Arabidopsis thaliana: one gene and its partner. The protein of the gene in region 1 interacts with the protein of each later gene in a pairwise test. Each region holds a gene or a part of one and is shown in the gene's direction. Other genes may lie near its edges.

Evidence for each region.
Region 2: the proteins of AT4G02840 (region 1) and smB interact in a two-hybrid assay, tested with the Arabidopsis thaliana proteins (2 studies listed by BioGRID, with this or other methods).

The regions. Positions count from the first base shown.
Region 1 is NC_003075.7:1,262,428-1,267,059, forward strand, and holds AT4G02840 (Small nuclear ribonucleoprotein family protein), read left to right. Parts: upstream 1-2,199; 5' UTR 2,200-2,298; coding exon 2,299-2,312; intron 2,313-2,436; coding exon 2,437-2,513; intron 2,514-2,706; coding exon 2,707-2,736; intron 2,737-3,474; coding exon 3,475-3,666; intron 3,667-3,758; coding exon 3,759-3,826; 3' UTR 3,827-4,032; downstream 4,033-4,632. Other genes in the region: AT4G02830 (uncharacterized protein), read left to right, coding at 20-115, 213-302, 454-610, 1,166-1,255, 1,384-1,505; AT4G02850 (phenazine biosynthesis PhzC/PhzF family protein), read right to left, coding at 4,108-4,215, 4,305-4,388, 4,507-4,632. UniProt on the Arabidopsis thaliana protein: Involved in splicing regulation.
Region 2 is NC_003075.7:11,021,266-11,025,869, reverse strand, and holds smB (small nuclear ribonucleoprotein associated protein B), read left to right. Parts: upstream 1-2,018; 5' UTR 2,019-2,253; coding exon 2,254-3,027; 3' UTR 3,028-3,031; exon of another isoform or gene 3,032-3,135; 3' UTR 3,136-3,834; downstream 3,835-4,604. Other genes in the region: AT4G20450 (Leucine-rich repeat protein kinase family protein), read left to right, coding at 1-43, 130-386, 460-659, 754-880, 962-1,027, 1,132-1,321, 1,408-1,816.

The DNA.
Region 1 (4,632 bases):
TCTTTTTGGTCAGTTTCAAATGGGTGACATCATCGGTCACAAGGATAGGCAAATATGGCCACCCTCTCATCATGTTCTTCAAGATCCATTGTTTGATCATTCCAACAAACATCAGGTTTATATTATCTTATATCTAAATTTTTTCTATTTGAATTTGTTATTTTTTTCTCCTATTCTATATCGAAGTCGTTGTTAATTAAATTCTCACATAGTTGCAGAAATATGTCAAGAACCACCATCACCACGGCAACGGTGAATTTCGTCGGCCCGGGGCACCTCCTCTTAGACAAACATTTCCTTTGGTATTTCTTTTCAATCTTTTTTTTGGTTACAATCTCTTAACGGTATTGGAGGAAATATCATTATGGACATTAACGTATGTATTTAAACATATCTTATATATTTTCAAACTAAAGCTCAAATATTTTGTATATATATTTTTGTGTGTTGAAGAACTATAATACAAGACAAAAGCACCAAAGCAATTGGCAAAGGAGTAAAGGAGAGGATCGTATGCAAGCATTTTTCTTGGTTACACCGGGCCGTACAACTTCTGGCACCGGAGTTTTTCTTCCAGCCACGGCTTCTCATCCACCCACCAAAAAAACAGGTTATTTATTAATTACTCTATACTAAGTATTTATGAACACAAATAAAGGTGCATAATGTTTTCAATTTCATAAAATCAATTCTACCAACTGCATATACTAAAATTCTTTTAGTTTCAGGTTAAAGTTGATTTGACATGATTTTTAACTTACATTTTGTCGTTAAGTCGTTTTTTTTTTTTTGAAAATAATGTTCAAATTATATTCAAAAGAAAAATAACTTTTTTACAACCACTGCTTCTTGAGATTGAAGATTTAGAGCTAGACAAAATTTAGAAGAATTTGAAAATTTTTGATGATTTTTTTTGTCGTTTTTTGTTTTAAACATATATAAACACAAAAACCTCAATTCTTCGATTACTACGAAATATATCATGGATTCATACATCTATTACCATTTTTTTCTATCTATTTCGTAGCTTTTGTAGGACAATTGACATAAAGAAATTGTGATTTGTTGGTTTTTACGTTAGTCAGCCTTTACTATATAGACTCATTAATATATGATTTAATGTTATACAATTTTGATTGATGAAAACAAAATTCTCTTGTCATAGCTTGCTCACCGGTGCTTCTCCCGACTCGTGTAGTTCAAGCACTCAATCTTAACATTCACAACAACGGTATCCATATTTCTCCTCGTCCAGGTTCTTTTCCAACCATTATTTGTTCTCATCGACCGTTATTCAAATACATTGTGTTATATATTACAAATTAGTTTGAACTATAGATATATTTTGGTTGAAATTGGTAACATTGTTTCTTTTGAATGTAGAAATTAGAGAAAATGATTCGAAGAAGAAGAGCGAAATGTTGGCAACAACACCTATCAAGATTGAAGCAGAAAATCCTATTGATTCGCCGGAGAAACTTCTCCCCGAGGAATGGATTTATTGATGACCCAACCATTAGTATGGAAAAGTAGAATCAAATAAAATAAAATGAAAGATTCTTGTGTTGATGTTACAAAAGAAAAGAAAAGATTCTTGTGTTGATAAGAAAAGAAAAGATTCTTGTGTTGTATGCTTCGTCACCATTGGATTAGTAATAAAAATCCAAATAAGAGACTCTGTATATTCCATTCATAATGTAATATCCCCTATTTTCAGTTGAAAAATTTGCATAATTTAGTTGTCACAATTATTAATGGATTTAGGAAAAATTGGATCAACAATACCAAGATGAATGACTGGATTCGAACACCAACGTTACTATTGGGCTAAAAGGCCGAATCAAGAATACTAAAACCTTTTGTTTTTTTACTATTTAGCTAGCTAATGATGAAATTTTTTATCATTGTATTGTTAATTTTGACTAAACAAAAGTTTTAAACAGTTTTTTTTCAAAACTAAACAAAATGTGATTGATAAAAGATAAATTTCTAAAGTGAGTGATTAGATTCCGCAAATCAGATTATTTGAGTTAATTATTCTGTTTCTTTCATTTGGGGTTGTTTTTGTTCAATAAAAAGTTGAGAAGGGTGTTATTGATAAGTTCAAAACAAATAGGGTATAACCAAACATTCAAGGAAGTAAGAGACCGTCGGTGTGAAGCAGAATCCATAATTGGGGACTTAAACATAAATTCCCCTATTGCTGCTTTTCCTCCTCCCGCTCTTGCTTCTTGCCATTGCTGTTTCGAGCTCTCCTCAAAGCCCTAATTTTCTCCTCTTCTTCTTCATTCTCTCACCATGAAGCTCGTCAGGTATGGTTTCTACTCGGATTCTCTTTATTTCTTCGGTTTAATTGGAATTTGCTTCGAAATTTTGAGATTTCTCTTTGTTTTCATGCTCTTCGATGTTTGATTTCGTATCTGGATTTTTTCGCAGGTTTTTGATGAAATTGAACAACGAAACAGTTTCAATCGAGCTTAAGAACGGAACCATTGTTCATGGAACCATTACTGGTACGCTTCTCTTAAAAACCCAGCTCTATTCGCTGTTTAGGGTTTTGTGTAAAATCTACGATGCTTACCTGTAATCGATGGTTACTCGCGTATTCACAAATTCTGATGGTGTAGTTTGAGTTTAGCTAGTGTCTTTCCCCTAATAATGCTTTGTTGGTATTAACCCTAGTGACACTGGTCAAGTCAGATGCAGATGAGTACACTAGATTTTACTTGAATCGAGGTTTATGAGATAGTTTAGTTCTTCTTCAAACTTTGATCACCCATGAGGTAGTTTACTTTCTCCTTTGATGGTTGTAACCAATGGAGCTCTCGAATTTACTAATTCTGATGTGTAATTCTGTTAATAGACCTAGAAATGCATTGTGGGTGTTGAATCTCTCTTGTTTGCAATAAGTGAATGATAATGGTGGTCTAGTCAGATGGAGATGATACATTTTATTTTGCTTTATAGTTGGGTGTATGAGAATGCTTAGTTCTTCTGGGAGTGAGTTTAGCACATGATTATATATGAGATAGTTTACTTTAGTTTCCCTCTTTATCATTGTGGACCTCTCTTGTTAACAAATCCTGAGGCTTAATTCTGTTATTAGTGATAGTATCTGAAGAAGTTAGAGTTTAGCTGAGTCTTAATTATTTTTTTACCTCGAAATGCTTTGTTGGTAACCCTCTTGTTAGCAAGAACTGAGTGATACTTGTCGAGTCAGATGCAGATGATTAGATTTAGCACATGAAAGTCACTCTTATCTCTTTCCTTGTAAAGAAAATCTCTGATTTTTCACAGAACAGTTACCGTGTGGCTTCTTGTTTCAACTTCTCTTTTAGTCTGATTGATCTAATACAAGTGGTCTCTGCTGTTAATGTTTGGTTTGGTTTCCTTTTTCTGCCATCATCTTGTTTAGAATGCAATTATCAATCAACTCACTGACTGGTACTATCTACTTGTGATGACTTAATGCAGGTGTAGATGTTAGCATGAACACTCATTTAAAAGCTGTGAAACTCACTCTGAAAGGGAAGAATCCAGTTACATTAGACCACTTAAGTGTCAGGGGAAACAACATTCGCTATTATATTCTTCCGGACAGTTTGAATCTGGAGACTTTGCTGGTTGAAGACACTCCAAGAATCAAACCCAAAAAGCCAACTGCAGGTAACAAAACATTTCTTTTTTCTGAACTATGCCTTTGTTTTTGTTTTTGTTTTTGCTTAGACTCATCTTTCTATTGTTCTCTTTGGTATCAGGTAAGATTCCAGCAGGTCGGGGACGTGGTCGTGGAAGAGGTCGTGGACGTGGCCGTGGTGGTCGTTAAGCATTTTGCAGTAATCAAAAGTCTGGTCCTTTTTGGTTTGTAACAGCAGGATTGTAAAAGATCTATCTTGTAGTGAGATTTGGTGTCACTAAGACAAATTCTTGTTATCTCTTTAAGTTTTCATGAATTTGAGATTTGAAACGTTATTGCCAAACATACATCACTCAATATGTTTTATTATTGACTTGATCACTTTATTACATAGTCTGATAAAACGTGGGGAGTTCGAGAAATCAAAATCTTGACCTTATTTTTCAAGACTTTGGCAAAGAGTCGAAAGATTAAACTAAGATAGAGCCTTTCATGACAGTCACAGCTTTCCCGGTAAGCAAGACTCTCTGCTTCTCCTTATCATAATGAACCTTGAGTGTTCCACTTCTTTGCGAAGCCTGAAAAGAAATTCGTTGATTCGTTAATATGTGTGATTATTTCTTGCTTCGAAATGTTAGTTAGCTAGTTACAGAGAAAGATGAATTACCGCAAAAGCGACGAAATCACACTTGTTCATCTTGAGGCTCCAGTAATGTGCTAATGAACAATGTGCACTTCCACATACAGAGTCCTGAAGGAACAAAAGCACCAAGCAAATAAGGTAACGGTAAACACTTTTGGTAACGGCTACCACAAGTAAAAAGCAGAGAATTGCTCCCATGCACGAAGTTGCAGGTTAGTTTCTTAACCTCATTGAGCCCTAGTTTAGGAGCAAAGAGTCGACTGCAGAAGTCAAAAGGAGATCCTTGAGGAGCAGCAGCGGTAACAATCATCACTTTGCCAGGGCATTTCACGATATCATCCACTCTTGGCTG
Region 2 (4,604 bases), 9.8 Mb from region 1:
AGGTGCCTGAATTTCTCGCCAAAATGAAGTTGTTGACATTCATGTAAGTTCCCCTAGAAGTAAAACGAATAGTTTGGTTTTAAATCTTTAAATGGATGCATCTAATAACGTTTTATATACATTGCACAGAAACTTGAGTGGGAACAATCTTAGCGGCTCAATTCCTCAAAGCCTTCTCAACATGGAAAAGAATGGGCTAATAACGTTGCTGTATAATGGAAATAACCTCTGTTTGGATCCATCATGCGAAAGTGAAACTGGTCCTGGGAATAACAAAAAGAAATTGCTAGTACCTATTCTTGCATCAGCTGCTTCTGTGGGAATTATTATAGCTGTGCTTCTTCTCGTCAACATTCTCTTACTTAGAAAGAAGAAGCCATCCAAAGGTAAGCTCAGGACTAATTAAAACTCATTAACTTCAAATTTGTACTTAAGTATATAATGTATGGTATATAATAGCTTCACGCTCATCAATGGTGGCGAACAAGAGAAGCTATACTTATGAAGAGGTTGCGGTAATTACAAACAATTTTGAGAGACCTCTTGGCGAAGGAGGATTTGGAGTCGTGTACCACGGTAATGTAAATGATAACGAACAAGTGGCTGTAAAGGTGCTCTCTGAATCCTCAGCTCAAGGATATAAGCAATTTAAAGCTGAGGTACCTTCACTATCATTAAGTTTAATTATTCATATACTCAAATAAAATGTATATATATGATTTACCAACTTTTGGGTTACTTGTGGTTTGCTAGGTAGACCTTCTTCTCAGAGTACACCACATAAATTTAGTAACTCTTGTTGGTTATTGTGACGAAGGACAACACTTGGTCCTCATCTACGAGTACATGTCCAATGGAAACTTAAAACAACATCTATCTGGTAACCTTGATTACCTAATTTGTTTCTAAACACAATGATCGTGTGTCATCTTATAACATACACACATCTTTATGAGTACAGGAGAAAATTCTAGGTCCCCTTTGAGTTGGGAAAATAGGCTAAGAATTGCTGCAGAGACAGCACAAGGTTCGTTTGAAGTTTTGAGAAAAAGATAACATTGCAAATTTTTTGAGATGTTCACTTCTCTTGGTGAGTTTTGAAATAAACCTTTTATGAGTTGTATTATATAGGACTGGAGTACTTGCATATCGGCTGCAAACCACCAATGATTCATAGAGATATCAAATCTATGAATATACTTCTTGATAATAATTTCCAGGCCAAACTTGGTGATTTCGGGCTTTCAAGATCTTTTCCGGTGGGAAGTGAAACTCATGTGTCAACAAATGTTGCTGGATCTCCAGGTTATCTTGACCCTGAGTAAGTGGTCTATAACAATACTTAATGAACTTAAGTTGTGTCTTTCTCTTTCCATCTGGTAAATTTTTTATTCATTCGTATTATAGATATTACCGAACAAACTGGTTGACAGAGAAGAGTGATGTCTTCAGTTTTGGAGTCGTATTACTGGAAATCATCACAAGTCAGCCAGTGATTGACCAAACTCGTGAGAAGTCTCACATAGGAGAATGGGTGGGATTTAAGTTAACCAATGGAGATATCAAAAATATTGTGGATCCAAGTATGAACGGTGATTATGACTCTAGTTCATTGTGGAAGGCTCTTGAGTTAGCAATGTCATGCGTCAGTCCATCTTCATCCGGAAGACCAAATATGTCCCAGGTTGCTAATGAACTACAAGAGTGTCTCTTAACTGAGAACTCAAGGAAAGGAGGGAGACATGACGTGGACTCCAAGAGTTCTCTTGAACAGAGCACAAGCTTTGGTCCTGAACATATCCCTGATGCACGCTAGTTCATGCCAAGTTCAGGAATACACGTGTGTTTTGAATAACAAAATATTTCCTTATTCAATGTATCAGATTTGTTTTAATCTTGTTGAACTTTACACATTTGTTCCCGATTAAACTTTGACATTTGCTGATTTGCTCCATAAAATAAGCTTAGTGAAACTTGGAGCCTCAAACTAACAAATATTGTAGCCTATTCAACTAATTGCAGCCCAAGTCCAATATGTTTGGGCCCATAATGAAAGTAAGCCCATAAACAAGAGTGTATTCATTTATAAACCCTAGAAATTTCCCACTTCCCGATTTGCACAGCCAAACCCCCCCAATTTTGGCCTCTCGATTTAGTTTTTTGAAACCCTAAGCTCGATTTCGATCCTCCGGCATACTCGGTTTCGCCGCCGAATCTCTGCTTGTAGCGAGTGTTACTATTCAATCGGCGAGAATGTCGATGTCGAAGAGTTCAAAGATGCTTCAGTTCATCAACTACAGGATGCGAGTGACGATCCAAGACGGAAGACAGCTCGTTGGGAAGTTCATGGCGTTTGACCGTCACATGAACCTCGTTCTCGGCGATTGCGAGGAGTTTCGTAAGCTTCCACCAGCTAAAGGGAAGAAGATCAACGAAGAGCGTGAAGATCGCCGTACGCTAGGTTTAGTGTTGCTTAGAGGTGAAGAAGTTATCTCAATGACTGTCGAAGGACCACCTCCTCCTGAAGAATCTCGTGCTAAAGCTGGCTCTGCAGCTGCTGTTGCTGGTCCAGGAATTGGCCGTGCCGCTGGGCGTGGAGTTCCTACTGGTCCGTTAGTTCAAGCTCAGCCTGGTTTATCTGGTCCTGTTCGTGGTGTTGGTGGACCTGCTCCGGGAATGATGCAGCCTCAGATCTCTCGTCCACCACAGCTTTCAGCTCCTCCGATTATTCGACCTCCGGGACAGATGTTGCCACCGCCTCCTTTTGGTGGTCAAGGTCCTCCTATGGGAAGAGGTCCTCCACCGCCTTATGGTATGAGGCCACCGCCACAGCAGTTTTCTGGACCACCACCGCCTCAGTATGGGCAAAGGCCAATGATTCCTCCTCCTGGTGGTATGATGAGAGGACCTCCTCCTCCACCTCATGGAATGCAAGGACCTCCTCCGCCTCGCCCTGGAATGCCTCCTGCTCCTGGTGGTTTTGCTCCACCGCGTCCTGGCATGCCACCACATAATCAGCAGCAGTGATTAGGTTAGCAGTGAATGAACAGGACTCTTGTCTCGGCTTTTTACTGTTTTTGTCGCTGTTTTCTTGAGATTATGAAGGCTTTAAGATGTTTGATTGAACTTCCTCAGGTTTACGGTATCGTGCTATCATGTTGCCTTTCATTGACTTTAGCCGCAATTTCTCATCTATCTTAGCTTTCAAAGTTTGTAGATTTGTTGACGAGTGAGTTGTCTTTGCCTTATCTTCTTGTGTTTTCTTTTAAGAACGAATCCATTAAACTTTGTTATGTCTTCTTAAGGTAAACATCTATCTTGAGGATCGTTTTACATTGCTAACTCTTTTGAGGTTGAAACAGCAACTTTCTTGCGCCATTTCGAGGAACTTAATAACATCTTAGAAAGCTAGAAACTAAGCTAGTGATCACATCTGAATCTTACTCGAACAAGGGCTAAATCGGTTCTACTATTGATCACCTCTCTTGTCCTTGTTTATGGATTGTTTAGGTAGAAGTCAAAACCTTGTTTAGGGAGCTATGGATGTTGTGATGAATCGTGGATACATTCAGCTATTTGTGATGAAGAACTCGTCGATCTATAAAAAGATTAACAAGTCACATTACCTTGCAATTTTGGATATAGTTCAAATCTAACCAAAATTCTGTTGGTTCAGTTTGGTTGGGTTTCACATTCTTACATATGTTAATTTTGATGAAATGAAATTGTGAATTAGTGTGGTTAGTTGAATGGTAAGTAATACTTGTTTATAGTGAATTATTTTTCAGAACTTTCAATTATTCAATAAGGCTTGGTCACTAACCAAGATTTGACAAGTGAGAACGTATACAAATGGTGTTGACTTACACTGCACACTGCGATTGTTTGGCTGTGTAAGAATTGTGCCGTTGAAGGTTAAAGATAGAAAACAAAACAAAAGTACGAAAGGTAATAAAAAAAAGTCAAAAACATAGGTGTGAGTGTGACCCATTAACACTCCTAATGATGCTTCACGTTAACCCCACCATTGCTAAATCTCAGCTTTATAATTTTAAAAGATCAAAAGAATATTACAAGGCTGCGACAACTTTAAAGGTTAATATATAGTCGTTACTTGTTTATTTCTTAATCGGAGATTCGGTATGATACTCATTATTACGGATTGGAGTTTTCATTTAGTATCAGACTATTTCTTATTGATAAGGTTTATATACATGCTTAAAATCAAGAAAAATCGAATACTTGTTATTGTTACATTGTTTTCTTTTAAAATTTCAGTGCAAAACTGTGGAACTGAATTAAGTAAAAAAACTATAAAGAGGATAGAAATGGGACCCGACGACAAGTTCCAACAGCTAAATTTTGCAAAACTCTGGTTTTTCAATAACACTGTGCTCGTCCTTTTCATTGCCTCTTTCGTTCTGGGACCCTGTGGTGTAGTTAAAACGTTCAAAAATATCCACAGAATCCAAGAAACCAAAAAAAAAGGTTTCAGATTCTCGTGAGTTTTGTTTTTTTTCTTCTGAAGATATCCCACCTTGTGTATATAATACTATTAATAAGTATAAATATGAGCACACTCTTCTTTTCACCGTCTCCAACAC